Linked DNA regions of Lonchura striata. The protein of the gene in region 4 purifies or fractionates together with the protein of the main gene of each other region. This does not show direct contact. Links are inferred from orthologs where the notes say so. Each region holds a gene or a part of one and is shown on either strand. Other genes may lie near its edges.

Region 1 (8,244 bases), on a different chromosome or scaffold from region 4:
AAATAAAATCATACAATGCATTTACCCATTAATAATTTTATTTATAATATAAAAATTGCCCATCGCTGAGCACATGACAGGCATCAGTTACATGCTAGATGGTATTTTAGACTGGAGTTTTCCACATCCTAGACACTTTCTATTGAATATTAATAAAAAAATGCATTCTTCCTTCAGCTGCTGCAGACAAATCAAAGCTAAGTTTCATTCTTACCACTGGAGCAGTGAGGAGGGTATTAAGATTTTATTGTCTTGATTTTAACACCTGGAAAGGCTGACAGGGTTTTAAATCTTGAACGTTTTGTCAAATTAAAATGTTGACTAGTAGGTTTCTGTGATAATGCTACTAAACCTACTTATAATTTTTAACACTTAAAAAAAAATGTCTAGAGCAATTCTTTACTTACTCTGTTTCACACTGCTGTTCTCTTGAAAGCACAACTCCCTGGGTTCCTTGAGCTCAGGAATTCCCCTCTCCTTGGAGGGCTGAGCATTGACATCTGCCAGCCCCAGCTGCCGGCCCTTTTCGAAGAGCTTGTGCCTGTTCTCCTTCTGAAGGATGGATTTCCTGCGGGCAACCCTGGTTCTGAGGGCTTCTGTACTCAAATCCTTCTTGTATCTATTGGCAAACTGGGAAGTAGCAGCCATCCTGATGACCTTAGACAACAATCACAGCAATTAGGAAAACACTGTCATGGTTTGTTTTCCAATTTGTTAACGTTATGAGCAAAGCACTAAATTCTTAATTTTTCTATGTGACCAGAAAAAACTCAAATAACAATTTCAGCAACAACTCTTTCAGCAATTTCTCATTATTTTTATCCATTCCAGGGACCAGTTTGGGTGTTGAGTGGTCACCAAGCCTGGCACAGAATTAGGAGGGGGCACTGCACCCATGCCTGGGATTGGCTGGGCTGCTTTCTCCACAGCTGTTTTCCACATTAAGGAGATGAGCAAGTAAATGACAGGGCTGTAGGACAATACTTGGAAGCAACATTCCATTTAGATTAGGCCTATCTGATAGCAAGGAATTTTGCCATGCAGCAGAGTATTCAGAACCAGGATGTTTCCAGGATGCAACTGCAATACAATAGTGGTTATTTCAAGCAGAATTTTTCCCATCATTTTTACCCTGGGGAAGCCTTAAGCCAATTGTCAGTTGGTTTGCACTTGCTGTGCTAACAGAACCCAAAGGGGCTCCAGGAGAGGTGGAGAGAGCCTGGAATGACAGGACAAGGGGAAATGGATGTAAACAGACAAAGAGCAGGGATAGATGGGATATTGGAAAGAAATTTTTCTCTGTGAGGGTCTTGAGGCCCTGGCACAGGGTGCCCAGAGATGCTGCTTTAGCTGCCCCACCCCTGAAAGTGTTCAAAGCCAGGTTGGATGGGGTTTGGAGCACCCTGGGGTGGTGGAAGGTGATCCTGCCCATGGCAGGGGATGGGAACAAGATGGGCTTTAAGGTCCCTTCCTACCCAAACCATTCTGGGATTCTGTTATCTCCTGCATCCCCACTAAAACTTGCCTTGTCAAGGGTTTTTCACCTCACACATCTCATCTTCCACCACTTACAGAAAACAGCTTTACAGTAAGCAGGGTGACAGAGCTAAACTAAACACCCAGCAGTTATTAATTAATTGGTAAATCAATCATTTACTGAGGCTCTTCATTTCAGGACAGCATGTTCTGATCAAACTGAAAGAACCATCAGAGAACTGAAAAGCCTTGACAATGGGTGTGCAGGATTTGGACAATGGGTGTCCATCCCCTTCCCATCTATGTGCCAACAAAAGCCAAATACTCAACCAGCAGCCTAGCTGGAAAACCCAAATCTTAGAAGGAAGAAAAGCAGCAAAATATAAATAATGCAGAAAAATACTGAATATATTTACAGGAAAAGCAATCAAGGAGAGAACCTGAGCTGTTGGAAGAAAGAATACAGCCCAAGCCTGTCCAGATGCCATCAGTGCTGGCAGTGGCAGCTCCCTATTCCCCACTCCATGAAAATGTTCATGGAGGGGGAAATTTGCACCAAAAAGCATCTGCACAACCTCCTGGAATTGCTTAGAACAGAAACCAAAAATTGCTTGGACAGAAACCAAAATCACTACATTGTGCTCCTTTTTTTCAAGGGAGAAAAAATGGTCAGTGGAAGTTAAAGAGCAAAGGGGAATAAAAATCAAAACTCAAATCAGGGACTGGATCTCCTCCACACAATTCTGGAAGATCTGGTCCACACCAGCACCACCCGAATTGTGAATGTCTTGGGCTTCACCCTTCATCTTGCATTCCAGCTTTCAGAAATTGATTAAAAATGCCAGCTAATGATGAGTGAAAAAAACTCCACTGTAGTTCATAGGTCATATTTGCCCTACTTTACATTTAAGTGATTAAGGGAGGTTAATTAATGAGTGTCTCCAATAATCACATTTGAACTGATCCTGCTAGGAATTACAGAATTGGTCATTACAGAATTATTAGCAATTACATGGCATTACAGAAAGCCATAAAGAAAACAGTGGGAATACATCTCCACTATCTGTGTCCCAGAAGCAGCAGGCTTTTGGGGCCAGTGGATGATAAATACTGCTCAAAGCAGCAGTTTAGTCTCCACACTCATCCTTTTTCAGTACAAAGTTCCTAAACGTACCTTTAGCCATATTCTTTAAGCACAGCAAGGTTACCTTGCTCATTAAAAATGTATGTCATGCCCAATATCCCAAAGACGTGTTTAGAACAAAAATACCTGTCTCCTCTTCTTCCCAGGTTACTGTTCCCGTGGAGTATCTTGCCCAAACAGGAGCCTAGAAGATTAATTGGTATTTAAATACAGACAAGTAAAGACTATTAGCAAGAAAGGGACAGAGGGCTTACATAAAGGATTTGTGACTGGCTAACGTATAGTACCAAACATTAAAGCTGATCATTTTAATAAATAAGAGGAAATGAAAAGAGACACTTTTGACCAACAACACCCTAAGAACCAAAGAGTAAAACGAGCAGGAAAACATTTTAGGTTGAATAGTGAGAAAACAGAGCAGGAAGAGCAAACATCGCTACTTTTAAAGAGAGACTGAGCAAAGCCTGGACTCGACGGTTTCGAGACGGGCCGCGGGGGTCGGAGCAGCCTGCGGGGCACACCCGGGCCCGGCTGTGCGGAGTCGCCTCAGGATTGTCCCCTCAGCCCCTTCCCCGCCAGCACCCCGGTGCTCCCACAACTCAGAGACAACGCACCGCTGCCAGCCCACCGCCAGCCGAGACCCCCACGCCGGGTCCCCTTACAGAGCACAAAAAGGTTCCCCCGAGCGCTCACAGCCCCTCCAGGACTCCCAAATCCCGCCGCGGGACCCCCGAGCCCCCCGGGCCCGCCATTACCCGTCCCGGCCCCGGCCCCGCGCGGCCCCGCGCGCACCGCCCCGCCTCGCTTTCAAATCTCACCCGCCAACGCTCATTGGCCAGCGCGGGCCGCCCGCTCCCTTTGGCCTCACCGTGGGCGGTGATTGGCAGCGCCGGAACGCCACAGCGGGCTGCTTATTGGTCGCCCGATGACAATTCTTAATTTCCATTGGCTGTCTGGGGTTATGTCCCGCCCATACTTGCAGCTCATTGGATAGTGGAGTGAGGGAGGTGAAGCCGCTGAGGGCGCGGGGGTGCTAAGATGGCGGCGGGGGTCGCTTGTGCCTGAGTGTCGCCTGTGACCGGGGACACCTGGCACCCGTTTGGGCTTCCAAAGCCCTCAGTGCCAGCAGGACTCAGGGATAGTGATGAGCCGTCCCACCACCCACCGAATCCCAGAGCGGACAGAGCTGAAAGGGACGGCAGTGGCTCATCTGGCCCCATCTGCCTGCTGCAGCAGGGACGTCCCAGAGCACAGGGAACGGGATTGTGTCCAGACGGCTCGGGAATATCTTTTTACATATCCATATTATATATCGGCAGTGAGGGAAACTCCACACCCTCTCTGGTGTCTCTTCATGGCTCAGTCACTGCACAGGGAAGTTCTTCCTCACGTTCAGGTGGAACCTGTGGGCATCAGCTCCTGCTCGTTCCTCTGGTGCCATTGCTGGCCCCTGGAGCAGAGCCTGGCTCTGAGCCCTCCCTGCAGACAGGGACAGACAAAGATCAGGTTCCCTCTGGAGACGGAACAGCCCCAGCTCCTTCAGCCTTTCCTGGGCAGGGAGATGCTCCATTCCCGCTGTCCTCCCTGCCCGCACCCACTCCAGGAGCTCCACGTCTCTCCTGAACCGGGGAGCCCACAGATCTGTATCCACACCTTAATACCCGCGTTGTGCCACCTCCTGAGGAGCCGAAGCCTGGTCTTCACAAGTCTGAAAGGGCCTCAAACGCATTATCAAAGTGGTTTTTATTAACGACCCTTCATTTCCTGCCATCGCACCAACCCCGCTGTTTGCTGGGGTGGGTTGCGTTTAACACAATGCTCAGCTACTGGAGAATTCTCTGTTTGTTTAGAAGTGGTAACCTGGGAAATTCAAATGCTGACGGGGGAACCATCCGCTTGGTGGCACTGCAAAAATGGGGACGACGCTTTGAGGGGAAAAAAAAAAAAAAAAAAAAAGTGTTTGGAAACGGGAAACTGCTGAGTAGCAGGAGCGGTGGTCAGAGGCAGACAGCCGTGCCCTTCCAGCAGCCTGAAAATGCGGGATCCCCTCCGGCGTTACACAAATATATCAGTAATTTTGTATATAAATGCGATTTTAAGACAGCAATAAATGGATTAAGCACCACAGTAAGAGAACAGAGCTGTTCCCCACGGCAGCGAGCAAAGTGAGTGGCTCTGGGCATCCCAGACTGGAGCAGTCCAGGAAGAGTCACCCCGTTTCTGCACAGACTGACAAAGGTTACAGCAAAGGTCACAAATATTGACCATCCAGCCTAATCCTGCAGTCATTTATTTGCTAGAGATAATAAAACAGCAGCATGGAGGTTACTGAGTGCTGCCAAAGTGATGGTTTGAAAAAGATCCAATTAAACAGAACCATGGGAGCTCAGATCTGTGGAGTGTACAGAGTCCAATCCAATGCAATCCTCGGGATTTGCTGATTTTCTTACTCCTCTTTTTCTTCTATGGCAGTGGAATTTGAGGACATCAGCAATTCTATCTTATATCAGGATATAATCCAATGATGTGAGTCATACTGAAACACAAGTTTTAGGGAGAAAGTGAATTTAGGAGTGTCATCATTTCAACCAAAAATTGTTTTTTTTTTCTTACTGCATACTTGAATATGCTGAAACAAGACTTGTTTGCTTCTCGGAGTGTGTGGATTGGCACCTTTGCTCATTTCCACTCTTATGGGTGTCCATACAGAATTTGGGAAGCTTTGCTATGGCCTGGGCTTAATCTCAGGAGCTGAAGTAACAGGAGGAGTGATAACACAGCTGTGGGCCCTTGAGGAACCTGAGTACCTGCCCTGAGTTTGCTGTGCACCTCTGCAGGTGTTACCTGAGCCAGGTAGGTTACAGCCAGAATGGGGTTCCTTAACATGCTGCAGAGACACCTTCCAATGACAATATTTAGGTCACCACAAGGGCCTCAGTGTGTTTGAATAATGCTAAGATTTTAAAATAATATCATTTAAAACACTCAGATCAGGTGTTTTCCAGTCAAATTCCTGATTGCTACTGATTTTATTGTGCTAAGAGAAATAAACATATTACCATTTCATAAAAATAAACAAGCGATCTGAATTTCTAAACTCATTATCCTGTGCATGTATTAGCCATGCCTGAAAGGTTGAACTCCTTGTTCTCATACAGACCTGATGATTTTATGATAATATCCCATTTTAACCATTGAGGTTTGAGAACCAATTTGAATACCTTTATTTCTTGGCAATATAACTATCATTATCCCATACATTTTGTACTGAGGAGATCATTATGTGGCAATCTGCTAACTTGCTCCTTCTGCTCTTCATTCCTTCACACAGAATATTATTCTTTGTGAAGGTGATTCTCCCCACCCTTGCACATATCGAGTGCAATATGGAGTGTGTAGGGAAATCTATCCTCAAATTTAGCCCTGAAATAATTACATTTTCTGATCATGTTTTTGGTGAAAGTACAGGTAAATGGAGTTATAAAGCTGTACCCCACAGCCACTTGCATGCAGTCAAAGAAAATCCTCTGTAGGCAAAATAAAACACTGCAGAGGGCACAGGTTGCCAAATTCAATTGATAACCTCTCAATCAAGTATTAAACAGCAAATTCATTTTGATGCATTGGCTGCTGTTCCCACTTGTGCTCAGGCTTTTCATCTGAAGTGTTTGCTAGTTGAAAAACCAGAACAAATTCTAGGAGCAGAAAACAGAAGTGAAATTCCTGTCTTTGAGCAACTAGGGAACACAGTTAAGCCTCTTGCTCTGTTCTGTGTGGTTTATTTTGCTCTGCAGCCCATTTTTACCAGGAATGGGAAGAAGCCACCCCCCAGTGCCTCAGCTTGTCACCTGGGAGGATGCCATGGTCTCTACCAGCAGGTAGAGAGAGATGTTTGGACTCCCACCTGGATGAGCCTGGAGAGTGTCTTCCCTTTCTTGGGTATTTCTCCACCCTCAGATCAGCACATACAACAAATAACATCAAATGCAACCTTGACACCCACGGTGTTAAACAGAATTTGTTATTGCTCCAATCCTTCAAAGAGCACTGACAGACTCCTAAACCCCAACGTGTGGGCCTGGGATCCTGAGCTGATGGAAACACCTACACTGGCTATGCAAAGTGACTTTAATACATTCCTCCTTTGATGTTTCTTTCTCGCTGGTCTCTGCTCCCAGGTGGGAGTTTCCACTTGCCCTTGGGAAGTGTCTCTGGCTATAAATAGGATAAGGTACCTGACTCTGGAGATTCTATTGCACTCTGGCAGCTGATACCCAAAAGCTGGATGTTGTAGCACATTTATAAGCTCCCAGCTTTCACAAAAATGCAAACTAGCAATGTCAGCATGAAAAGTGCACAGGGAACACAGCCTGAGTGGTTTTATCTCAGCATATCTGTGCATCCTCTGTTATTTACAGGGTGTTTACACCAAATGTTCCCTGCTGCTAGAGATTTCACTCACAAATTTGCTCCAGCACTGCAGGTGAAAGCATCCTTAGCTGGCTGCTTTCTTCAAAGCCCAAGGCCACATTCTTAAGGATATCACACTTCTTTCCAAACAAATTCAACCCTTCTTAGTTTTTTTCCATGGCAGAGGGGAGTGGGAATTTACCCCAGAAGAAATGCTGGATTCAACCATAAGCCAACCATAAGCTGAGACCAAATTTTTTTTTTGTTTCCAGTGACTTTGAGTGGGTTGCTTTGGGAAATTGTTTTTTTTATCCCCCTGAGCAAAAGCAGATGAAGAAACCACTCAGTGGGGTGGGATTAGATGAAATCTCAGCATCAGGAAGTAGGTTTGTGACTTAGGCCAAGACCATTACATTTTTCTCTGAAAAGAGCATCCTTTTCCCTTCTTGCACAATAATTCCAGGGTTTTTTTTTTTTTTAGTGATTTTTTTTTGTGAGTTTAGTTTGGTTGGTTTTTTTTTTTTAATTTTGGCAGAAAACCTGTATCTTTTTTTGGTGTGTGCCTCCATTGTGTCTCCATTGCCCAGGGGCAGAATACCTCCTGTGGAAGCTGGATGGAACTGCTAGAGTTGTATTTCATGGTTAAAATTAATACAGCCAGTAAGGGACAGTTTCTTCTCTTGATTTAGGGAGTACAACATAAGCTCTGAGGAATATGACTGCTAATTAGGATGGAAACAATAAAAGAGCTGTAAGGACTTGGTTAATTCTCTGACAGAGTTAAACTTTCTCCAGGTCTCTGATAAGATAGGACTGGTTTTCTTTATCTATTGTTTTATTTTAATGTTCAAGGCTACTGAAATGCAGAAAGGCCAGATGGCCATTTAAGCTAAACAATGTGCAAAATCTTTCTTATATTATCACTAACTGCCTCGAGGGGGTGAGAGGAGAAAGGTTGTTTAATCATTAGAAGTCACTTAGCAGCAAATGTCAGTTCACTGTCTTTATCAATTTACAACAAAAGATTGGGGCCATGTCTTTGTGAGACCTTTTTCTAATATGACAGGACAGATATTTCATTCCCCTTTAAGTCACCTGGGGGTATCTTGCATCTCACTGCATGTCACCAAACTGTGGGGCCATGCTAGTAAATAGGTTTTATTCCCATGTGCATTTGATCCTATACCAAAACACAGAATTTTCCCGTGGAACAC
Region 2 (7,847 bases), on a different chromosome or scaffold from region 4:
CATTTATCTGATAGCAAGGAAAAAGTTACTCTTTGGAGTAGGGTGGTTGTGATAGGGGAAATGCCTGGAATCCTATTAAGTGACCCTGGAAAACTCCTTATTTCTTATTGAAAGAACATTTTACAAATAGCCTTTCCCTTCAGCACTGCAAGTGCCCTACTTAAAATAAATAAAAGTTGACAGATAAAGCAATGAAAAAAGCTACACTTCTGGACGAAAATGTGCAAACAGTGGAGAAAATGTTTAGTTAAATAAAAAATGTATTTTAATAAAGAAGACCTTTTTATTTTCCTGCTTCTTACATTTCAACATGATATCTGAAAAATGCACTTTTTATGATTGGCTTTTCGCAAATATTAAATTCAATACTATACGTATTATACTATATTGATTAGAAGTGCTGTATTAACATTTTAATAGTATGTTAAATGTAGTTTTGTAGTTAAAATAGAAACCATGTATGTGGAGTTTTCTTTAAAAGAATGAGATACTCGTTCTTGACTCTTTGCAAATATTAAAATGAATATTATATGTGTAATGTTAGTTATGCTGTATTAATTCTCTTAAGTATTGTGTTAAATATAGCTCTAGGTTATAACATAATGCTAATATAGAAACTATGATGTAAGATTTTTTTTTTTTACTAGCTCAAGAAAAGGGAGAAGATAATTAAGAAACTCTTTGCAGAGATAACAGCGACAGGGCACATAAAGAGGTACTGGCTCCTTACTGGAAAAAACATTTTTCCACCTTCTCTCCCTCTTTATGGAACCACCAGGATTAAGGGGAAGAAGCTGACAAAAAGCAGAAAAAATTCTTAATTTGCAAAGAATTTATACATAATGTATGAGATATATGAATATGCAACAGGCTGTTACTTGTAAGGGTTATTCCTCTGTTCACAAGGCATGGTTTTGGCAGCTCAGTGCCCAAAAACATCCAGACATCCTTAATGCTTTGTTTTTAATTGTCTCGTAGCGTTCTAATCCTCATTGTCCAAATTTTTATTATTCTGATTTTATTACTATTTTCAATAACTATTTTATGACTTTATAAAAGATTTTATAAAAACAAGTGATCAGAGTTTTTCCACAAAAAATGATGAATTACAGAATTCAGAACCAGAGGCTATTTGATAAAAATGTATGTGAAAAACGCCAATCACTTGGTTTTTAAAAATTTTTAAAGTTTAATAATAATAAAATGGTTATAAATATAGTAATACAATTAAAGTAATAAAAGTTTAGAGTTAGGACAATTACAAGACAATAAAAGGCAAAGAATTATGGATGTCTGGATGCTCTCAGACACTAAGTCATGAAAAGCATGACTTGTGAATAAAGGAATAACCTCAAAACAATACACTTGTTGCATATTCATACATCTTTATGGTTATGCATACATTCTATTTTAAACAAGAAACTCTGTCTGTTGTATGTTGTTTCCTTTAATCTCCGTGGTGTTTTCGAGTCTGAGCAAGGCCTGAAGAAATTCGCTTCTTCTGATGAGAAAACAATAGATTTATCTTCTCTTGGACGATTTAGGTGTTCCTCGAATCGAGTATCTCATCCCTAAAAAAACCAAAAAACAACTTCCCCCACATACATAGTGTCTATTTTAACGTTCTGTTGGAACCTAAAACTACATTTAACACACTACGTAAGGGAATTAATACAGCTTAACTTTCTAACATTACACATATAATATTCATTGTAACTTCTGTGAAAATCCAATTATAAAACATTTTTTCACAATGATTAATTATAGAATCCAGAACCAGGGAATATTTGATAAAAATGTATAAATAGGCGAGGAACTTTTTTTATCAGCATGTGCGTGGGGGCGGAAATGTCTGCGGGCAGCCACCAAACTGTATGACTATTTTACACAAAAGGCTGCTGGCCGAGGACGCACCGGTACCTCGCCAGCACGAAAAGGCGGCACTCAAAGACGCAGTTAAAAGCAGAGAATGAAGATTTCCTTCTAACATCCGATTTCTCCCGGCGGCCCCGGCAGGACCTGCGCAGAGCGCGGCCGGCGGCGGAAGCCACACGCGCCTCGGCGGCGCCCCCCGCGGCCGCCGGCGGTACTGCAGCGGCCGGCCGCGGCGGGCGCACGCGCGGTGCGCGGGCCGGCGGCGGGCGCGGCCTTCCCGCTCAGGGCCGCGGCGGCAGCAGCGGCGGCGAGCCCCGCGTGTGCCGGCGGCACCGAGCGGCCGGGCCGGCGGCACCGGGCCGTGCAGCCTCTGCGGACACCCCGCCTCCCGCGGGAGAGCCCCGAGCGAGCGAGTGAGTGGCGCGGGGGTCGCTGCGGTCCGGAAGGCGCGGAGCGCTGCGCGGTGCGGCGAGCGGGCGGGGCGCGGCCGGCACGGGGCGAGCGGCGCCGGGAGCCGCAGCGGAACGGCGGATCCGCGGTGGCTTCCGCTTCCTCCCGCCGGGCCCGCAGCCGGCTCCGGGATCCCGGGACCCGCACGGACACCGGCCCCGCCGGCTCCGGGCCTCGCTGCCCGGGTGACCGCCGAGCCTGGCTAGAGAGCGGTAAACAGGCTATGAAGCTGCTGGGTGTTGTTATCTCTGCAGGTCAGCAGCGCGGCTGCGCTGCGTTGTTTTTAAACGTGTTCAGAAATGTTTTTGAGCGTGATTGGTAATCGAAGAGGAGTCAGGGTGGATATCGGGAAAGGTTGTTCCCGCAGAGCGTGTTGGCACTGCCCAGGCTCCCCAGGGAATGGGCACTGCCCAAGGCTGCCAGAGCTCCGGGAGCGTTTGGACAACACTCAGGGATGCACAGGGTGGGATTGTTGGGGTGTCTGTGCGGGGCCAGGGGCTGGGCTCAGTGATCCTTGTGGGTCCCTCCCAACTCGGGATATTCCGTGATTATTCGATACGTTTCTCAAAATACTTCTATGTCAGCCTGTTCAGAACACGTGCTCCGAAAGCTTCATGAAGTTTGTGAACACCAACCAGATGTAGGTTTGTGCTGGTTCTTGTTTCACGGGATAGAATTCACTTCAAGTTCTCTGTTAGAGTCACGTTAGATCCTCTACAATGCTTTTAAAGAGAAACTGTGCAAACACCAGTGGGTGCAGAGAATCTGGAGCTTACATAGACAAGGTTTTCTCTCTTTTGGCGGGGGACAGGCTCTGTAGTTAATGTGCTCTTTCAATAATTCAAATATTTAATGTAATAATGAAACTAATATATTTAAATTATATTATAGTATATAGTATATTATATATAATATGAATTATATTATAGTATATTATATACTAATATAATATAGTATACTATAGTATATTATAGTATAATATATAGTATATATACATAATATGAATATACGCAGCATATATATACAGAATACCTTTATTTATTATAACTTAAAAATTAAAATGTATTACATAATTTAACACATTCTATATAAAAATTATATAATGAAACAATAATTTAAATAAAGGTGACTTTAAAATAACTTGTTTTTAGCTTTTCAGTGGGTTAGATTGAAATGATCTCCCAGGGGTTATCAGGCAAGGATGTCTACTTTCAGGACAGAGTGGATCAGGGCATTTAAATATGTATACACAAGCCAATCTTTGTCCCTCTACTTCCAGAAGCTCTAGTAACTTGACCTTATTTGTGATATATGTCAGACAAAATTTAGGACTTGGATGTATCATCTCCCAAGACTGCTGTCCTTCTGGATTTGCTGCTCTAAAATGTTTCAATATATAAACAAGATGCCTTGTAACAATATATTGTTACAATTTCTGGCTCTGAAATTCAGCTATTTGTGGTTTTTTTTTTTTTTTTTTTTTTTTTTTTTTTGTCTTTTTTTTCTGGGCAGGTCTTAATCACAAACCCAAGGGGGTTTTGGAAGAGTTTTAATTTTTGTGCTTGTTTGAGATTTAAATTGCAACAAAACTACATATTTCCTTTGGTAAGTTTACACACATTTAGTATCAGAAGATATAACCATAGTTAGTGAAATACATCTTTTTTCACATAAAATTCCTGTACAGTGATTGCTTGCCCGGTTTTTTAGACTGAATCCAGCTACCATGTTTTCTTTTTCTGGTTTTGTACACAGCTCATAAGTTATACGTTAGTAAAATGGGACTGAGAACAGTTACAGACATTCCTTCTGCAAAGCTGATTTTGCTTTACATCACAGAGATAACCAGCAAAATCATGATTTCTTTGCTTACAGTAATTGCTGTAAAATCCATGGCATGACTTATGTGTCCTTTGTAGGAAAGCCAATCTCATTTATTTAATTTTTTTTTCAAATTAGTAATGGACAACCAGTCCAATTTTTTAAAGGAGAGCATTGTCTTCGGTCTTAACCAAGCTCTCTGCTCAGCTGATTCAGTGGGTCCTCATTAGTATTTATTTCAGATGTTATAAAGCAACTCCCTTTTTTCTTGCTGCTTACATAGGTATCCTGAGGTGGCAATGTGGAGTGGAATATGGAATGTTTTAACCACAGCTTTGGGGTTTTTGTAGCCCTTCAGAATACGAGTATATGAGTTATGGTTCCGAAAGGAATTTTTCCATCTGCCAAATAATATTTATCCCATAACTGCACTGTACATTTCTGTTGTTCTTTAAGATTGAATATGGCTGATCACCACAACTTGAATCTCAAGTGCTGTTGGCTGTTTTTGCCACAACACTTGGTTTTCAGTTGTCATTCCAATCTTGACTTGCTTCTATATGAACTGCAGTTCCTGTTTTTTTGTTCTAAGAATACAAATTGAAGATCACTGCCACTTAGAATTTAATTTCTGTGCAATTCTTTCTAGGATTTTTTGTTTCTCCCCAACAAGTGTGGAAAAATGGCAAAGAGAATTGCTGAAAAGGAACTGACTGACCGAAACTGGGACCAAGAGGATGAAGCTGAAGAGGTAAAATACAAATTAGTTCCCCGCTAGTAGCTGTTTACATTTGTTGTGTATCTTGTGCATAAAACCTACAGTAGAACTGGTTAAAAGTTTAGCAATTAAAGATAATTTTATAGAAGTGGATTTTTAAAAAATTATTTCTATAAAGCTTCCAGTTATGCAGACCATATAGCAAAACAGCTTTTAAGAGTAAAAATTTCGTCAGTGGTTCTGGAGAAAGGAACTTAATATTTTTAGAGGGAACCCCAGGCTTGTTAAAATGCTTTTGGACTCTTTAAAAGCAGATTTGATTTCTGGAGATAAATGCTCTGTATGCCTCCAGTATATTTTTTGAGGGTCAGTAATAGCTGATTTTAGAGCTATGTTAATTTTAGCTGAATTTCTCCACACAGCCGGAGGAATTAGGCAAATAGTTGAGTGGTATGTTTCACCTAATTGTAAAAAGACATTTTCACCTTTAATGTCTCATACTTCCCTTATGGCTCATATTTAAACAAACTGGTTTAGTTTTTGTCCAACTAAAAGTATTAAACGCTTAGGCCTGTAAATGTAAAAAAGAAAACTAACTCTTCCAGGAATTTGAATATAAGAAAACTTAATTTCCTCATTTGTTGCAGGGTGGTACTGAGCCATTAGCTGTCTTTGCTAGTGTTTGAACTACAGCAGGCTGCTGGAGGTTGCCTTAGAGCCCACATCTCCATATAACTGTTCCAAACTGTGGATTACTGACAGATTCCCTTCAGCAGAGAGATCTTAGAGCTGTGTTTTAAAAAAGCAAAACAAAACTTACATTATTTGTTTTAATAAAATGGAAATAGCACAAAGAGAAATGTAGTGCAGAACCAGAAAGAGTTTTCCAAGTATCAACTCACCTGCAGGTAGCTGGTAAGCCGATGACAGTGCTGCATTTTAACTTCTCCCCTTGTTTGTTTGGTAGCAGTGTTAGAGTTGTGTTCAAAACCTGATCTTGGCCATCCCTTCATGTTGTGTATTTTGAATATTCCACTAATGATTCCATAACTTCCTCTTCAAGGTGGGAACATTCTCTGTGGCAAGTGAAGAGGTCCTGAAGAACAGAGCTATTAAAAAAGCAAAGCGCCGAAATGTTGGGTCAGAGGTAATGTAGTCACTGAGCATGAGTGCTGGGCTTTTACTCAGTTACAAAACACAACACCACACTCAGGGTTTTACTTCCTTGGGTTTGTAGTGATGCTGAGTAAAGTTATCATTTTGACTCACCGGGTCATATGTGCACATGAACTTTGGCTTTACTGTTCCATGCTAAGAATAAGACTAAGGCAAAAAAAGGGTAATACTAGTTTGACTAGGTGAGCAGGGTGTTCTTGCATATTTGTGAAGTAAAAATAAAGAGTGTTTCAGGCACAGTGTTTTATGCAAATGGGTAAAACAACGTTTTTACTGCTTTACTTGCATTTTTTGTAGAGATGGAAGTATGGAAATGCAAAGTTATTAGTTATCCATACTGGAGGGCTGGGGGATGTCTCAGAAGCTATGTTAGTAAATACCCAAATACTAAGCTGCTCTGAGAATGAGAAACGTGTATTTTGTTAAGAATGCTGCTACTTTTTTTTTCTCCCTCCCTGTCAAGAGCTTTAGTGCTATCTACTCTTTGCACTAGCGAATTGAAAATTGAAAGGAAGCTGGCCTTTGTTACAGGTTTAGTCCCTGTGAAAGCCTTATCCCAGTCCAGCCAAATTGTTGTCCTTTCAGGAATCCTTGAGAAATGCTTTGTTGTGTATATTTTTTTCCCAGACATCCTTTGAACAGGGTATGCATCATGTTAGAAATAGGCTTGGAGCTTTATGTGTTACACAGATTGCTTTAGGACTTGGTGGGACTAGGCACAGTTAGGAGCTAGAGAGCCTTCTCCTATGCTTTTGATTTTCCTTCTTCAGTCCAAGCACTGTAAATGAGGAAGCTGTTTTAGCTCACTAATGCCTTGAGTAGTTTTAGCCACAAATGTGGTAGAGGATACAGTTAAATAAAGGATTGTATTGAAAGGAGGTGATACAAAACATAAATACAACTTGAGCAGGAGAGATTCAGGGGCAAATGGAATAGGAAAAATAGAACAGGCTGAGAAAGGGGATCAGATGGGTTGTAGAAGTAGTCAGGAGACTGGAAGCAGGCTGTTAGAGCTGGTAGAAGGGCTGGTATACTTCAGCTCCAGCTGACAGCTAGCTAAGGACCATGCAGCCCCTCACTTTTCCTCCTAGTGGGATGAGGAGGAGAATGGAAAAAAGGGTGAAAGCCTGGGTTGAGATAAGGACAGTTTAGTGATTGAAATATAATGATCATGATGATAAGGGAACCAAAAAAAGGGAAAGAAATAAACCCAGAAAAAGCAGTGATGCTCAGGATAGTTGCTCACTACCCACTGACCTCATCCCATGCCCAAGCAGCAATCAGCTGCTCCCAGCCACCGCCCCTCCCAGTTTCCGTGCTGGCCATGACATTCTGTGTTCAGGTCACTGTCCTGGCCATGCTCCCTCTCAACCCCTTCTGTCCTGCTTGCTGGCAGAGCATGAGACATTGATAAGCCCTTGATTGCAGTGAGCACTGCTCAGCACCAACTAAAACATCCTTGTGTTATCAACATTCTTCTCGCCCTGAATTCAAACCACACCACTGTACCAGCTACTAGGGAGAAAATTAACTCTATCCCAACCAAAACCAGGACAACAGGCTGGACAAAATCTAAAATGCAGAAGAGATGACAGGACAGCTAAAGTTGTGTAAGAAACTTTGTGAAATATTTACAGAAAGGTAAACTTGCTGATGTTCCTACATGGAGTAAGCAGAATGCTTCAGTGAAAAAGACAGCAGTTTAACTGGAATATTCAGAGAGAAAGGTGGGACTGATCAGAGAGAAACATAATAAAAATGCTTACCTAGGAATGTGAAGCAGAGGACTGTGCTGGAGACCCATAAC
Region 3 (7,793 bases), on a different chromosome or scaffold from region 4:
AAAACCTTGTGTTCTTCCTCCATGGTGCCATCCAGACTCATGCTCTAAGAACACTGCAGCATCTGTGATGTGCTCGTCTGCTGCTTTTGCAGGCAACACACACTAGCAAATCTCAAAACTATTCAGGAGTCCATTTAGCAGTGGCTTACATATCAGTTGTAGCTAATGAGCACTTGACCAAAAACTAGCTGCCATTAAAACCAAGACTGCCATTAACAATGTGTCTATTAAATGGTGGGACAAGAGCTCTAGGTCTCTAAGAATGTTCAGTTTGTAATGGTTGCTCTTGAATATCTCCACCTTGCCAAGTATGTTTTGCACAGCTCCAGAAACCTGACTTCAGTATTTCAAAGGCTAGTTTTCACCCTGAAGTCACTACAAAACTAAAGTCACATTTACACAGCTTCAAAGAGTAACATGCTGCATGGGTGAACTATTCAGTCTTCCAAGCATAATTTCAGTATGTCAGATTCTCAGGTGTTCCTGAAGGGATGCACTTCATCATCAGTTTGTTCCACACACAGATAAAGTAACAGATCAATTACTCTGGTGCAATATTTCTTGGTAATGACCAAACACAGCAGAGATGCAGAAACATTTCCAACAGTTCTTGAAAATGTGTATCAGTTGATCTGTTGAAGAGTTCTGCCGTTCTTTTACATAATTATTTTGTTATTTTATCCAGATGTTCTGTTACTAATTCTATGCGAGCACTCAAGTCCACAAGCTTTTCTTTCACCTAGGAAAAAAGAGAAGAGTATTAAAATTAGCAAAAAAAGTCCTAACACTGGACCTTTGAATGACCTGCACCCCACTTTTAAGTGGCTAAAGAGCAGCTCATTTTCAAGATGGGAAAGTATAGAGGGGCTTGATCTCTATATTGCATGTTTAGTACTGACAAAACCAGCACCCAGATCAGAAGGCTACACTACAAACTAGAGATGGATCAATGTGTGCCAGTATCAGTCCTTCCAGGGGCATAATGGAAGATGGAGTTGCTGCAGTTTTACTATGATGAACTGGATCTTTTCTAGTTAACTCAAATTTTCACACAGCCAGAAACCTATGACAATATGTAGACAAACTGTTTTATCATTAGCTTAGGAATGCATGTGGACATTATGTCTCAAAAAGCAAAGGCCAGATGCTTGAGCTTGTTCTAGTCAATAAGCAAAGTCTCTACAGTCACATAATTTGTGTTTGCAATGAAGTGCTGTCATATTTTTACTTCAGCCATTTACTATTACTAAATCATGTGTCAACTTCAGAAGTTTTAGCTGGATAGGATTTTTGTATCTTAGCCTCACTTGACCTGTAAAAACAGTCTGATCTTACAGAAACTGGAAGAGGACAAAATTAAAGAAATGTAAAAGGTCCATTACAAGAGAAACTAAAATCCAAACTGAAACCCAAAAAAAGTAATGAACAAATTATCACATAAATATGATATGCTGGCTGTCTCCTACACACAATAACTTTATTTGAGCTAAGGCACAGGCAATTAACTAACAAACTAGTCAAGTTACAGATAAGAACATCCAATTTGAACACCAAAACAGGAGGGAGGTCCTAGAGTTCTCTCTGAAACAACAAATACTGCCATGCTGTTTTGAGCTTGCACAGACATAAAAATATCTCTTTAAAAAAATCCCTTTCATATTAAAAAAATTCTGATTTTAAATTCTTCAACAATGACAACACAAGTTGTAATGCTTAGGCCAAGTCTGTATAAATTATTTTTGGGTTTTTTTTCTTTGCAAGGTATAAAGATAAAAGGATAACAAACTTTTGCCAAAATTTAACTAGAACTGGGTATGTTATGCAGTTTAGGGGTCTTAGAAAATGTTCATGTCTCATGCATTGAGTCAGTTATTGTCATATAAGGCAGCAGTTTCTCAGTCCTAAGCACTTAAAACCCCCACATTTGTATCAATGTTTTTGAATTAATGTCCAAAATTATCAGTATTTTAAAAGTATTTTCCATTATTGTGGAAATCTTACTTTCTGCATGTTTTCCTTTAAGGTCACAGCTGGAAAATTGACCTTAGAAGCTTCTACAATCATTTGATTTTTTAAGAGATAACTGGAAAACAAAACGGGAAAGGGAAAAAAAACACAGTTACAAAACCTGTAGTTGCACTATTTAGACAGATGATTTAAAATTATTTTAAATCAGATACAAGGTTGTTGCCAAAAGTAATAATTATGAAAATATTCAAAATACAGCAATGGTTTTACTTTGGAATCAAGATCCTCTCAGTAATTTACAGCTTCTGCAGTCAAGTTCTCAACCAATCAAATAATCACTTTGATACCTTACATTAGCTAAATGAATCTGGAACTGAAGAGATTTCAGCATTGCACACAACGAAGTATGAAGTCTTGCATTGCACAAGGACACTCAAGAGGTGCAAGGAAATCAAAGGGATTCACATCAACACAATTTAGTCATCAAGAATATTAATATCCCACACCAATGTGCTCAGACAGAAGTTAAACCACTTTTGTTAGCTGTAGGCTAGTTGTACAGTGACTTGAAACTACCTGTGAAGTCACTGACCATGGAATGCAGTGTACTCACCACATGATGCTGTCCTTGAAGAAACAGAACAAGTCCCGGAGATACACCAGGTCACTGCCAGAAGAGTAAAGAATGAAGCCCACAGCCGAGCCACAAGATCGACAGAATAATAAATAATAAGTACTAAAAGGAGAAAGGGAAGTGTTTTTAAACAGAAGCTTTTGAAACCACAGATATTGCATATTTGTCAGAGAGCATAAAATCTTCAGTTCCATTGGGAAAAAATCCAAGGCATAATAACGCATCCTCTTCAGAAAAGTAATATGTACAAAGTAGTATGACCATAAGAAATTGGGCATGTTGTGAAAGAAGCAATCTCTCAAATAAGTGAAGTTGCTGTTAAGGAAGAAAATGCACATCTTATTATCACAGAATGATTTACATATTCTACTCAAACATAATTTAAATAATAAAATAATGGATGCACCAGTTGAAAATTCTAATAAAATATATCATTACCCCATGCAGAGAGAGGGGCAAGGAAAAAAGTCAAAAAAAGAGCAAGTCTTATATTGAAGCAGTTCCCAGTTCTGACAGTTTATAAAACAGCTTTTAAAAATCATTTAAACAAGCTACTGGTTCTGTAAGCCCCTAGATGACATTTTACATTCTTCCCGTTAGACTGAGTTACCAAACCTTGCAAAAGATAGGTTCCTGAATGGGGCAGCACAAGTTTTTTATTTTCAGTATTAAGAAAAACCGACCAACCAATAGCCACCCCTCCCCGCAAAACCAAACCAAAGCAACCAAAAACCCACCAAACCAAACAAAACCCAGAGATGCTTTAAGCAAGAGACCTTTGAGGGAAGAGAAGAAAGGGACCTACAAGTTAAGCTGTATTCTACTGCATTGCTCGAATGTTTCTCTCCACCTACAGAGGTTATAGCAGCAAAAATCTCGATTTCAAGTGAGAACTACATCCCTACAAAAAGTATCTCCATCCGAGGTGTGAAACAGGCACAGAAGTCACTGGCAGTGACTTGCCAAACTCCTGAGCATCCCCGCGCACAGGCCGGAGAGCTCCCGGCTTCGTGCGCACGATTCACCGCGGCGGCCACTCGGGCAGGTCCGCTGCCGGAACTACGGGAGCTACGCACCATCCCAGGAGGGCTCCCTCGAGGCCGACCAACAGCGACTCTTCCCAGGTCACATCATTGGTGACTCCTGAGGAGAAAGAGAGACGCGCTGCAGCAGAGAGCCCCCGGACCAAGCCCCGCTGCCCGCCCCGAGGTCCGCGCGGGGCAGCGGCGCGTCCTCAGCACCAGCCGGCGCGGAGGAGGCACTGACTGAAGCAGATGAGGACGCTAAGCCCCGGCGGCTCTTGCCCGCACAGCTGCAGCGAGTCTCCCAGCACTGTCCAGCAGCCGCGGCAGTGGAACACGGCGCACTCCTCCGGCAGCGGACCCTGCTGCCGCGGCGGCGACGCCGGCACCTCGGCCGGCGGCACGGAAGACGGCGACAGGGGCGGCGGCCGGGGCGGCGTCCGGGGCGCCGACAGCGAGACGCAGGCGGTAGAGGCAAGGGCGGGCGCCCGCTCCAGCACAATGGCCCCGACGGTCTGCGGGTCCTGGAACAGCTGTCGCAGCCGCTGCCGCACCGCCATCTCCTCCCGCCAAGCGCTCGGGCGCGGGGCCCGCCCCCAAGCATCGTAAGCATCGTGATTGGAGCGTGGTGCGCACCTCTGTATTGCCATTGGACAGAAGGAGCGTCAATCCGCGCCGCCCGCGGCTATTGGGCAGCGGGCTGCACCGCGCGCGACTTTCTTTGCCGGGAACGCCTCATCGCGCTTGAAAATAAGCACGCGCGGCGGGCCGCGCCGCCATTGGCGGCTCCCTCGCTCCGCCCCCTTCGGCCACGCCCCTTCGGCGGCCCAGCCAATGGGCTGGCGCAGCGGGCCAGTTCGAACGGCGGGGGCGGCGCGAGCGGTGTCGGTTGGCGCGCGGCGGGCAGGCGGGTCGGTCGGAGCTGCTGTCATGGCGCTCGCTTCGCTGCAGCCCCTGGAGGCGCTGAAATACGCCGAGCTCCAGCGCATCGCCAAGGCCGCCGGGCTGAGGGCCAACCTGCGGGTGAGGCGGGGGCAGCTGCGAGGCAGCGCTGCCCACGAAGCTCCGGGTTCTGGGGTGCCCCCGTGCCCGGTAGCGTGACGTCCCCAGCCTCGCCGGGCGCACCTCCCGCGTCTGGAGCGGCGCCGGGGCGCCCCGGGGCTGTGCTGCCGTCCGGGAGGCGGGCAAGCACTCAGTGTGGGGAGAGAGCGGGGCTCCGGTGTCCCCCGGGCATCGAGAAGGGGAGGCCGCTCCCTTCTCTGCTGGCCCGGCTGTTCCCCACGCCGGTGACCCCGCGCTGTCCGCCGCCAGTGCGGATAGTTGTGTTTGTTTGGTTGGTTTGGTTTGTTTTTTTCCCTTACGACTCGGAGTGGGAGGAAGAGTGACAAGAGAGTACCTTAAGGGAGGAGATGCGTTTGGCGGGCGCGGTTAAGGGGTGAGAAGTTTAAGGATGCCCCAGGCTCCTGCCAGGAGCTGCAGGTGCTTGTGAGGCACGGCCGGGCTCCTCCTGGCAGCAATGGCACAGCTCGTAAAGCCTTAAAAGAAGGATCCACGGCTTGGGTGGACAAGGCAGCTCCCTGTCCTCACAGACCAAGAGTTTTTCTGGGAATGGTAGTTCTGGGGTACTTTGTTTGTTTTTGTGCTGACCTTTCCACTTAGGTGTTCAAGAGTCTTTCATAGCCTGGCTTATCAGTGGTGTGTTTTCATTGTTGTTTTGTTACTATCACTGTTGAATGCGTGACAGGGATGAAAAGAATGTTTTGCACGTAGCACGGGGCAAGACAGAAGCAATTGCAGAAATTTGACACAATTTTAATTCAAGTTCAGCTGCGCTATGGGGCTTAAAACAGTTTATCTCCTTCCTTGAATATTAACCCCCTGGAAAATAGAGCAGGAGAAACCTAGGCATGGAAAATTGCCTTTGTGCCTCGGTGGAGGATATCTACATGTTTATCTGTGGCCTTAGGCACTTTCTCTAACTGACTGACTTGAACGAGTCCTAGGTAGACCTCATTCTCTTGGATTCAGGAAATGTTCTGCTGGTTTGTTGGATCACTTTATAGGATGCGGGCTGGGCTTATGCAGCTCTTCAGTGACTCAATGGACTGTTTGGTTCATGTGTTTTGATTTCTCTTCAGGCAGACAAATTACTGGAATCATTGAAGCAACACTTTGAAAGGACAAAAGAAGAAAGTGAAAAAATGGTAACATAATAAATCAGCTGTTGCTTTTAAGAAATGTAATCCTTAATATGTAACTCATAGAGCAGAGTATATGCTGAAGGGTGATTTTGACCACAATTGGAACTGTAATAGAAATACCTTTTTCTTCTTAGTGCCCTTAGGTTAAAGTACTTACATACTGATAGAAATTGATATGCTAATGTTAGTTTTGAAGTGGCCTATATGACTTAAATCTTATTTCTTTTCAGCTGCCAAAATTAACAATATTTTTCAGCATCAATACAAGCCTATTCTCTGTGAACAATAACATAATTTCCACTGAACAAACCTTAATTCTTGCTTGTTTGGCTACAGACACTATTCTATACTAAATATAAAAATATTTTATTAATTTTGCATGCCTAAATGAAGGGGACTAGGTACTAATTGGAAAGCATTTTGCATCTACGACAATTTACTTCCATTTATAATTAAAGCAATACAGTTGTGCTACGTCCTTTATTTGTCTCTTAATGTGTTGTTTTCCTAACTTCTTTAACGTTTTCTGTAAGATTAATTATTTTGTTGAGTGTGGCAATATTTTTGATTAAAGTAGTTTGCTATCTGCTTTTTCTAAAATGCATCTGCCTTTAAGTGCATCCCTTAAAAATCTTTAAAGATTTGAGGAACTGGTGTAAACCTTGTCAGCTTTTTAAAAATTTTCACGAGCAGGAAAGGAGCCCTGTTTTTACTGGTGAACAGTATTCCACAAATGTACAAATATGGGAGGGTCATGGCATCATGCAAGTTAGATTTCAAATAAAAAATATTAGGCTTTTATAGTCTTATTAAAATGAAATATGATAAACCAATCATTTCAATTGTATTTAAAGTCTCCAAACAATGAGCTTTAATGCTTAGGGGAATCTGGATAGTGCCAGTTTCTTGATTATTATTCTGCTACATGGCATGCTACTGTTTATCCTCTGTGTAAAATACTTTTTTAAATAATAAAATTGAAACTGTCCCTGGAGTATTTAATTTGTATTTGTGTTGGATATCTTCCAGTTATAGTTTTTTTTCTGCTACAGGGTCCTGTAAAGAGTGCATCTTCTTCCATTAAGTCAGATGAACTAAGCAATCAGGAGGAAATTATGTCTGATTCAGTGTGTTTTATTACAAAAAGACGTGGTAAGGACAAAAAAAAGAGGACCTCTCATGAGGAAACTAATAGCAGTGAAGAAAACCCAGTGCTTTCTGATGAGAAACAGGTGATTTGCTTTGCATGCTTTTGTGTGCTGTCCTCCCTTCCTCTGAGCATAATTTAAGCACACTTGATTTCTTTTCAATCACCATTTATAGATGGTATGTGTTTAGATATGTGTGTTTGTGTGTATATAGATGTGTACAAAAATTGATATGCCAGCATTCTGGTACTTGTATTTTGTATTTTGTAGTACTGACTTTTGTCTATTTATGTGCTATCCCATAATAAACAGACATTACTTGGTAGTCATTGCTTCAAGAAAATAAATTCCCCTAAGAAATATACAATTCCAAACACTTTATCTGAGTGTAAAACTAATTTCACTAGTTAATTGCAATATTCTGAATCTTAGACTAGTTTCAGAATTTATCTAAAATAAGGCTGTTATCTCTTTTTTGATACAGAAAAAAATATCAGAAGTTGCACCATTGTCTAAACCTCGTAACTTTTATTGTGAGGGTTGTGTGACTTAGGGAGAAAGTTACAAGGTATGATAGAGGTTGAATTTTTTTTGAGTTACAAGGAGTAGGTAAATTAAGAACTGTCTGAAAGACTTCAACTGAGGCAGAGGAAGGAAATGAGAAAATGAGGAGTGGTAGTATTTTAGTGTTAGAGAATTGTACAGTATGCAGAAATACAACAGTAAAAAGCAACATCCCCAGTGAATTTAATCTTACTTGCAAATAATTAACTTTAATCCATAAAGGCAATTTTATACTAAAATTTGAGAGCTATGCAGA
Region 4 (7,739 bases):
TCATCCTCCTGCTTCATCCTCATCATCCTCATCCTCCTGCTTCATCCTCATCCTCCTGCTTCATCCTCATCATCATCATCATCATCCTGCTTCATCCTCATCCTCATCCTCCTGCTTCATCCTCATCCTCCTGCTTCATCCCCATCCTCATCCTCCTGCTTCATCCCCATCCTCATCCTCCTGCTTCATCCTCATCCTCATCATCATCCTGCTTCATCCTCATCCTCCTGCTTCATCCTCATCCTCATCCTCCTGCTTCATCCTCATCATCATCATCATCCTGCTTCATCCTCATCCTCCTGCTTCATCCCCATCCTTGTGCTTCATCCTCATGTCTCATCCTTCTTCATCCTCATCCTCGTGCTTCATCCTTATTCCCCTGCTTCATCCCCATCCTTCTGCTTCATCCTCATCCTCGTGCTTCATCCCACATTCTCATCCTCCATCTTCATCCTCCTGCTTCATTTCCATCCTTGTGCTTCATCCTCATCCTCATTCTCATCCTCATCCCCCTGCTTCAGCTCCATTCCCATTCTCCTGCTTCATCCTCATCCTCCTGCTTCATCCCCATCCTCATCCTCCTACTTCAGCCCAATCCTCCTGCTCATCCTCCTGCTTCATCCCCAACCTTGTGCTTCATCCTCATCTGCCTGCTTCAGCTCCATCCTCATCCTCCTGCTTCATCCTCATCTGCCTGCTTCAGCTCCATCCTCATCCTCATGCTTAATTTCCACCTTCATCCTCACCCTTCTTCTTCATCCTCATCCTCGTGCTTCATCCCCACCCTCCCGCTTCATCCTCATCTTCATCTGCCTGCTTCAGCTCCATCCTCATCCTCCTGCTTCATCCCCATCCCCCCGGCCCATTCCACCTCCTCACCCCACACAAATCCCCGGGGCCAGCCCAAGCTCTGCCTCTCACGGAGCAAAGTAAAAATGAAAGCTTGGAGTAATCCCACAAGTCTGAGAGAAATGAAACCTTGGAAAATCCACACTTCCTCTTCCACAGGAGAAATGAAACCCTGCAAAATCCACACTTCCTCTCCCACAGGAGAAATGAAACCCTGCAAAATCCACACTTCCTCTCCCACAGGAGAAATGAAACCCTGGAAAATCCACATTTCCTTTTCCACAGGAGAGGAGAAATGAAACCTTGGAAAATCCACATTTCCTCTTCCACAAGAGAGGAGAAACTTTGGAAAATCCAGGTTTCTTCTCCCACAAGAGAAATGAAACCTTGGAAAATCCACATTTCCTCTTCCACAGGAAAGGAGAAATGAAACCTTGGAAAATCCACATTTCCTCTTCCACAAGAGAGGAGAAACTTTGGAAAATCCAGATTTCTTCTCCCACAAGAGAAATGAAACCTTGGAAAATCCACATTTCCCCAGCTCTTCCCAACACCAGCAGATCAGGACCACGAGCAGCTCCTGCTCATCACCCCAAAATCCCTCAGAGCTCAGCCCTGCAGCTCCAGGCACAGCTTGGGGTGGTACTGAGCCCCCCAAAAACACCAACCCAGAGGATTCTCCCCTCCAAACGGAGAGGTCCAGCATCAACCCCGAGGGATCCTCACCCTCCTTCCACCAGCACCACAAACACAGAACCTCCGTGGCTTCTTCCCCAGCAGGCCCGGGGAGCAGAGGAGGAGCTGGGGGGTGACCGGTGCCGGTTTTTGGGGTGCCAACGGGGCTGTGACAAGGACAGCACCGGGACACCGGGACTCGGCACCCCCCAGTGCTCCCCATCCCTGCGGGGAGCAGCCAGAGCTGCAGCCCCAGAGCTTGACTAAGCAAAATCCCTTCTGAAGCAGCAGCAGCCCCAAGCCCCCGCTCCGGCCCCGCCATCGCACCCGGGGATTTTGGGGCTTTTTGTTCCCCCTTCCGTTGCTTTTTTCTGACTTCTTTTCCTGCTCGGGTTTAAGGTCAGCGCGGGTACAACTCCCCCTGCCCAGCCGAGCCTCCCTCCCCCACCACACATCCCTGAGCCCCTCCCCGGCTCCCGGAGCTGCGATCCCGCCCGGGCCCGGCTCTCCGGGGGATGCGGGGCTCCCGGTGCACCGGGCAGCAGGACCGCACAGGGCTCCCGAGGACACCGAGACTGGGCAGCAGGGCTGGGCGGGGGTCCCACAGGCAGCAGCACCGGCCAGCAGCACCGGCCAGCGGGGCTGGGCAGGGATCCCGCGGACAGCACAGCGGGGAGAGCGCCCCGGAGGAGCGGGCGCTACAACCGGCCGGGCGTCCCGCGGACGCCGGCACCGGGAGGTCGGGCTGGGCGGGGGTGCGGCGGGCACCAGGACGGTCCGGGGGTGCCGCGGGTGCTGGAGGCGGCCGCTGGGGCCGTCCGGGGGTCCCTGCGGGCGGCCGGGCTTTAGGACCGGGCGGCGCCCGGGGCCGCGATGGCCGCGGCGGCCGCACATGGCCCGCGGCCGCTCCCGCACCGGCCCCGCCCCCCGGCCCGGCGCCGCGCGCTGATTGGCCGCCGGGCCCGCAAGCCGCGCCGTGATTGGCCCGCGCGGCCGCCGGGCGCGGGCAGGGGCGGCAGCGGCCATGGCGGCCGGGCCGGGCCGGGCCGAGCCGGGCGGGGCCGCGGAGCGCTCGGGGCAGCGCCGGCCCCGCCGCCGCCGCCGGCTCCGCCGCCGCCGGGACCGCCCCGAGCGCTCACCAGGTTCTCGATGGCCGCCTGCTCCAGGAACTTCTGCGCCGCCTCGAGCTCCGAGCAGTCTGCGGAGGGGGGAAACCGGCGTCACCCGCGGCCCAACCGCCCGCGCCCTCAGGGCTCCCGGCGCGCTCCTCACCGTGCCCGGGAGCCTCCCCGCCGCTCCGGTTCCCGCCCGCCTCACGGCTTCCCCCGCCGCCCACGCCCTCCCCGCGGCTGCGGGCGCCGCCTCGGCCGCCCCGCGGCTTGCGCGGCCCCCGCCCCGCCCGGCCCCGCCGCCCTCAGCGCTCAGCCCGCGCCTCACCCGGCGAGACCGTCTTCTCCAGGATGGTGATGAGCTCCATGGCGGCGGCGTGGCGGCTCCGGCGCCGGCGGGAGGAGGAGGAGGAGGAGGAGGAGGAGGAGGGGAAGGGGGGGGGGGAAGCGGGGCGGGCCGGAGGAGGGGAGGGAGGGAGGGAGGGAGGGGAAGGGCGGAAAGCCGGGGCCTGCCCCGCGGAGGCCGGAGCGGGGCAGCAGCAGCAGCGGTTCCCGGTGCGGCTGCGGGGCGTTTGGACGGGAGAGATTCTTTTCGATTTAAACAAAAAAAAAAAAAAAATTAAAAGAGGGTGGAGAAGAAGGAAGGAAAAAAAAAAAAAGAAAAAAAAGGGAAAAAGAAAAAAAAAAAAAAAAGAAGGGGCCGCGCGCGAGCGGGGAGGCGGCGGCGCGCGCGCGCACCGGGCGGCGGAGGGATACGCCGGGAGGGGCCCCGCGCGCGCGCGCGCCCGCCCCGCGCCCGCCGCGCTGATTGGCCGGCGGGGCCCCCCCGGCCCGGCGCGCGCGCTTTCCTATTGGCCGGGCCGGCGGCGCGAGGCCATTGGAGGGGGGGGGGGGGGTGAGCGGGAGGGGGGGCGGCAAAAGGGAGGGAGCGGGGGAGGAAAGAAGGGGCGGGGCTTCCGGCGGCGCGCGCGGGGATTGGGCGGGGCCCGGACGGGACCATTGCCGCGGGGTGGGGGGGGCGGGGGGGCGCGACCACGTTGGGCCGCGCGTGGGGGGCGGCACCGGGAGCACCGGGAGCACCGGGACGGGGAGCGGGGTCACCGGCACTGCCGCCGGTTCCCGGCAATGCCCGGGGCAGGGCGGCAGCGGCACCGGAACCGGCTGGGGAGGAGCCACGTGCTCGGCGCGCGGCGGGAAGCGGAACCGGCGCCGGTTTCCCGGGACCGGGGGTGTGACCCGGTGTGTCCCGGTGTGTGCAGTCCGGCAGTGCAGAATCGCTGCGTGACGGGCATCCCGCACGAAGCGGGGTGTCCCGTGGTCGGTACCGGTGGCCGGGCGGGGCACCGGGCCGGTCAGCACCGGGGCGGGGATGGGAGCGCTCCCCGGTGCGACGGCCCCGGCAGAACCCGCCCCGCACCGGCTCCGGTGTCCGCCGAGTCCCTCGGTTCGGGCACCGCGCTCCTTGCGCATCGCGGTGTGTCCCCAAAGCGGGGTGACAACCGAGGGATGCGGGAACGGGACGGGCGGAGAGCGGCGGGACAATTAACGGGGCCGGGAGGGCGAGCGGTAATTAGTGACGCTCGCCGGAGGCGCGGGGACAAGCGGCAATTACCGGGACACCGCCCCGGGCTCGGCCCGTTCGGCATCGCCCGCTGCCGAAGGGTTCCGGGATCCCGGCCGAGGGATGCAGCAACGGGAGCCGCGGGAATTGCGGGAGGAGCGCGGCCGGGACCGGGCAGGGCTGGAGAGGGACGGGGAGGAATTCCCGCTGGGAAAGGAGCGGCGGGCACCGGGACAGCTCCGCAGGGAATGGGGGTGATCCCAAAACTGCCGCAGCTCCAGGGGTTTCGGGGTGGATTGGTTGGGGTGGATTTTGGGCGCTGGAACAGCTCCCCTTGGAATTATGGTGATCCCAAAACTCTCAGAGCTCTGGGATTTTTGGGATGGATTCGTTGGGTTGGAATTTGGATGCTGGAACAGCTCCCCATGGAATGGTTGTGATCCCAAAACTCTCAGAGCTCCAGGAGTTTTGGGATGGATTTGTTGGGTTGCATTTTGGGCAAAGATCTTCATCCAAAGGTTGGTTGAGTGCTGGGACAGCTCCCCATGGAATGGTGGTGATCCCAAAACTCTCAGAACTCCGGGAATGTTTGGGTTAGATTTTGGGTTGGATTTTGGGGTTTTTCCCCACTGGATGTTTGAGCACAGGGCCAGCCCCCCATGGAATGATGGTGATCCCAAATCTCTCAGAGCTCCAGGAGTTTTGGGATGGATTTGGGGGTTTTCCCCAGAGGGATTTTGGGGCACTGGAACATTTCCCCATGGAATGTTTGTGCTCCCAAAGCTCTCAGAGCTCTGGGATTTTTGGGATGGATTTTGGGGTTTCCAGCTCAGGGGGATCAGGCACAGGGCCAGCTCCCCATGGAATGATGGTGCTCCCAAATCTCTCAGAGCTCCAGGAGTTTTGGGATGGATTTGGGGGTTTATTCCAGAGGGATTTTGGCACTGGAACATCTCCCCATGGAATGATGGTGATCTCAAATCTCTCAGAGCTCCAGGAGTTTTGGGATGGATTTGGGGGTTTATTCCAGAGGGATTTTGGCACTGGAACATCTCCCCATGGAATGTTCGTGCTCCCAAAGCTCTCGGGGCTCCGGGAACGTTGGCCGGCGCTGCCGGGGCTGCCGAGGGCGGATTTTGGGGTGTCCTGCAGGGGTGGCAGCTGGGCCGGATGATCCCTGGGGGTCCCTTCCAGCTCCGGAGGTTTGGGGTTCCCGGGAGGCGCTTTGGAGGTGGGAGAGGATTGCTCGGGATGGGCTCCGAGGAAGAAGTTTTTGCAGGGAAGCTCCGGAAAGGCGGCGGGGATTTCCCAGAGCAGGAGCCCTGGAAGTGTCCCCGGGTGGGATCTGAGGTCCCTTCCCACCCAAACCTCTCCAGGAAAACCCTGGAGTGAGGAACCCCTGGGAACAGCTGCCTGAAAATTCCCATTCCAGCTGCAAACAGCTGCCTCCATCCCCAAAATCCTGACCTCCAGCTGCTTCCCAAAGCCACAGCAGGCAGAGGAGGAGGAGGAGCAGCTCCCGGAGTTCCGGAATCCAGGAGAATTCCCGGCCCCATCCCGCTGGAAGCTGAGGAGAAGCTGCCCCGACAGGTCCATCCCAAATCCCGGAGCCCTTCCCTGGGGAATTCCCAGGGAATTTTCCCATGGAAAAGTGCTGCCCCGAGGGAGGATTTTATTCATTGCTGGGGAAATGGGTGCGCCCAGGGCTCTGGGAAATATCCAATATCCGGGGAATGTCCATCATTCCTGAAAAAATCGGGGTTACAGGGAATATCTGTCACTCCCTGAAAAATCCGGGATACAGGGAATGCCCATCACTCCCCCCAAAAAAACAGATTATGGGGAAATTCCATCCTTCCCTGAGAAATACAGGTTATAGGGAATATCTGTCATTCCCTGAAAAATCTGTGTTATAGGGAATGCCCATCATTCCCAAAAAAAAACCAGATTATGGGGAATATCTATTATTTCCTGAAAAAATCCGGGTTACAGGGAATATCCATCATTCCCTGAAAAATCCAGGATACAGGGAATGCCCATCACTCCCCCAAAAAAAACAGATTATGGGGAAATTCCATCATTCCCTGAAAAAAATTCGGGTTACAGGGAATATCTGTCCTTGTCCTGCCCCTCTCCCCAGCACCACTTTGCCTCATTTATTAATACGTATTTATTGATACATATTTATTAATACATATTTATTTATACTGCCTGTATTTATTTATACAGATAAAGATTTCTTAGGAAAGGCCAAATCCCAAAATTGATTTATTTGGGAATTTAATTCCTCTCAGGGCCTGCATGAAACTCCTCACCCCAAAATCTCCTCTTTGTCCTGCCCCTCTCCTCAACATCATTTTGTCTCCAGTGATAAAAATAAAAATTTCCTATGGGAAAACCAAATCCCAAAATTCATTTAATTGGGAATTTAATTCCTCTCAGAGCCTGCATGAAACTCCTCACCCCAAAAAATTCCTGTTTTTGTTCTGCCACTATTCCCAACATCGTTCAGTCTCCAGTGATAAAAATAAAGATTTCCAATGGGAAAACCAAATCCCAAAATTCATTTAATTGGGAATTTAATTCCTCTCAGAGCCTGCATGAAACTCCTCACCCCAAAAAAATCCTGTTTTTGTTCTGCCACTATTCCCAACATCGTTCAGTCTCCAGTGATAAAAATAAAGATTTCCAATGGGAAAACCAAATCCCAAAATTCATTTAATTGGGAATTTAATTCCTCCCAGAGTCTGCATGAGTTTCCAGGCTCAGCCTTTTCCCCACCCCAAAAAATTCCTGTTTTTGTCCTGCCCCTCTCGCCAACAGCGATAAAAATCAAGATTTCCATGGAAAAGCCAAATCCCCAAATCCCTTCCACGGGGATTGAGCCTGGCTGTGTTTGCTGCTGTTGTTTTGTGCCTCTCCCAGCCCAATCCCATTTCCATTATTTCCATTATTTCCATTATTTTCATTTTGTCCCTGTGCAGGGAGCAGAAGGAAAAGCAGCTTAGCTGGTGCTGACACAGAAATTCCCAAACCAGCCTCGGGAATGCAACAGCTCACAGCCCCAAAATTCCCATTTTTGGGATGTTTTCCCAGGCCGGGAGTGCCCCCACGATGTTATTCCATCAAGTTTGTGCTGTTTAATGCAAATTGTTTTGATTCATAATTTGGTTTTTTTCTTCCTTTCGCTGCTAAATGCATTTCTGGAGTGCCTGAGGGTGGTTTTTATTCAGATTAAACAAGATCTGGTCTGGGTTTGTCAGCTAAAATTCCAACCCTGGTGGCACAGGAGGGGTCCTGTAAGTGACACTTTAAAACTGAGTTTTGGGTCCTTTCAGGCTAAAAACTAAACCAAATTTTGGGTCCTTTCAGGCTTGAGTTTTATGTTCTTTCAGGCTCTAAATAAACCCAGTTTTGGGTCCTTTCAGGCTAAAAATTAAACCCAGCTTTGGGTCCTTTCAGGCTCCAAATTAAATTGAGTTTTGTGTCCTTTCAGGCTCCAAATAAACCCAGTTTTGGGACCTTTCAGGCTAAAAATTAAAGTG

The links.
Region 1: the proteins of KPNB1 (region 4) and DLGAP5 purify together in Homo sapiens (affinity purification with mass spectrometry; 4 studies listed by BioGRID and IntAct, with this or other methods). This does not show direct contact. The link is inferred for Lonchura striata from reciprocal best matches to the Homo sapiens genes KPNB1 and DLGAP5.
Region 2: the proteins of KPNB1 (region 4) and NUP50 purify together in Homo sapiens (affinity purification with mass spectrometry; 4 studies listed by BioGRID and IntAct, counting the BioPlex papers as one, with this or other methods). This does not show direct contact. The link is inferred for Lonchura striata from reciprocal best matches to the Homo sapiens genes KPNB1 and NUP50.
Region 3: the proteins of KPNB1 (region 4) and NUSAP1 purify together in Homo sapiens (affinity purification with mass spectrometry; 3 studies listed by BioGRID and IntAct, counting the BioPlex papers as one, with this or other methods). This does not show direct contact. The link is inferred for Lonchura striata from reciprocal best matches to the Homo sapiens genes KPNB1 and NUSAP1.

The regions. Positions count from the first base shown.
Region 1 is NC_134608.1:3,587,422-3,595,665, forward strand, and holds the start of DLGAP5 (disks large-associated protein 5), read right to left. Parts: upstream 3,403-8,244; 5' UTR 3,376-3,402; intron 2,805-3,375; 5' UTR 2,747-2,804; intron 658-2,746; 5' UTR 649-657; coding exon 408-648; intron 1-407. UniProt on the Homo sapiens protein: Potential cell cycle regulator that may play a role in carcinogenesis of cancer cells. Mitotic phosphoprotein regulated by the ubiquitin-proteasome pathway.
Region 2 is NC_134607.1:5,817,917-5,825,763, reverse strand, and holds the start of NUP50 (nuclear pore complex protein Nup50), read left to right. Parts: upstream 1-4,801; 5' UTR 4,802-4,828; coding exon 4,829-4,897; exon of another isoform or gene 4,898-5,927; coding exon 5,928-6,011; intron 6,012-7,806; exon of another isoform or gene 7,807-7,847. UniProt on the Homo sapiens protein: Component of the nuclear pore complex that has a direct role in nuclear protein import. Actively displaces NLSs from importin-alpha, and facilitates disassembly of the importin-alpha:beta-cargo complex and importin recycling.
Region 3 is NC_134608.1:37,492,690-37,500,482, reverse strand, and holds the start of NUSAP1 (nucleolar and spindle-associated protein 1), read left to right. Parts: upstream 1-4,538; 5' UTR 4,539-4,554; coding exon 4,555-4,647; intron 4,648-5,762; coding exon 5,763-5,828; intron 5,829-6,877; coding exon 6,878-7,057; intron 7,058-7,793. Other genes in the region: OIP5 (protein Mis18-beta), read right to left, coding at 665-739, 2,002-2,083, 2,582-2,704, 3,679-3,745, 3,869-4,184. UniProt on the Homo sapiens protein: Microtubule-associated protein with the capacity to bundle and stabilize microtubules. May associate with chromosomes and promote the organization of mitotic spindle microtubules around them.
Region 4 is NC_134627.1:8,498,598-8,506,336, forward strand, and holds the start of KPNB1 (importin subunit beta-1), read right to left. Parts: upstream 3,257-7,739; 5' UTR 3,002-3,256; coding exon 2,962-3,001; intron 2,723-2,961; coding exon 2,664-2,722; intron 1-2,663.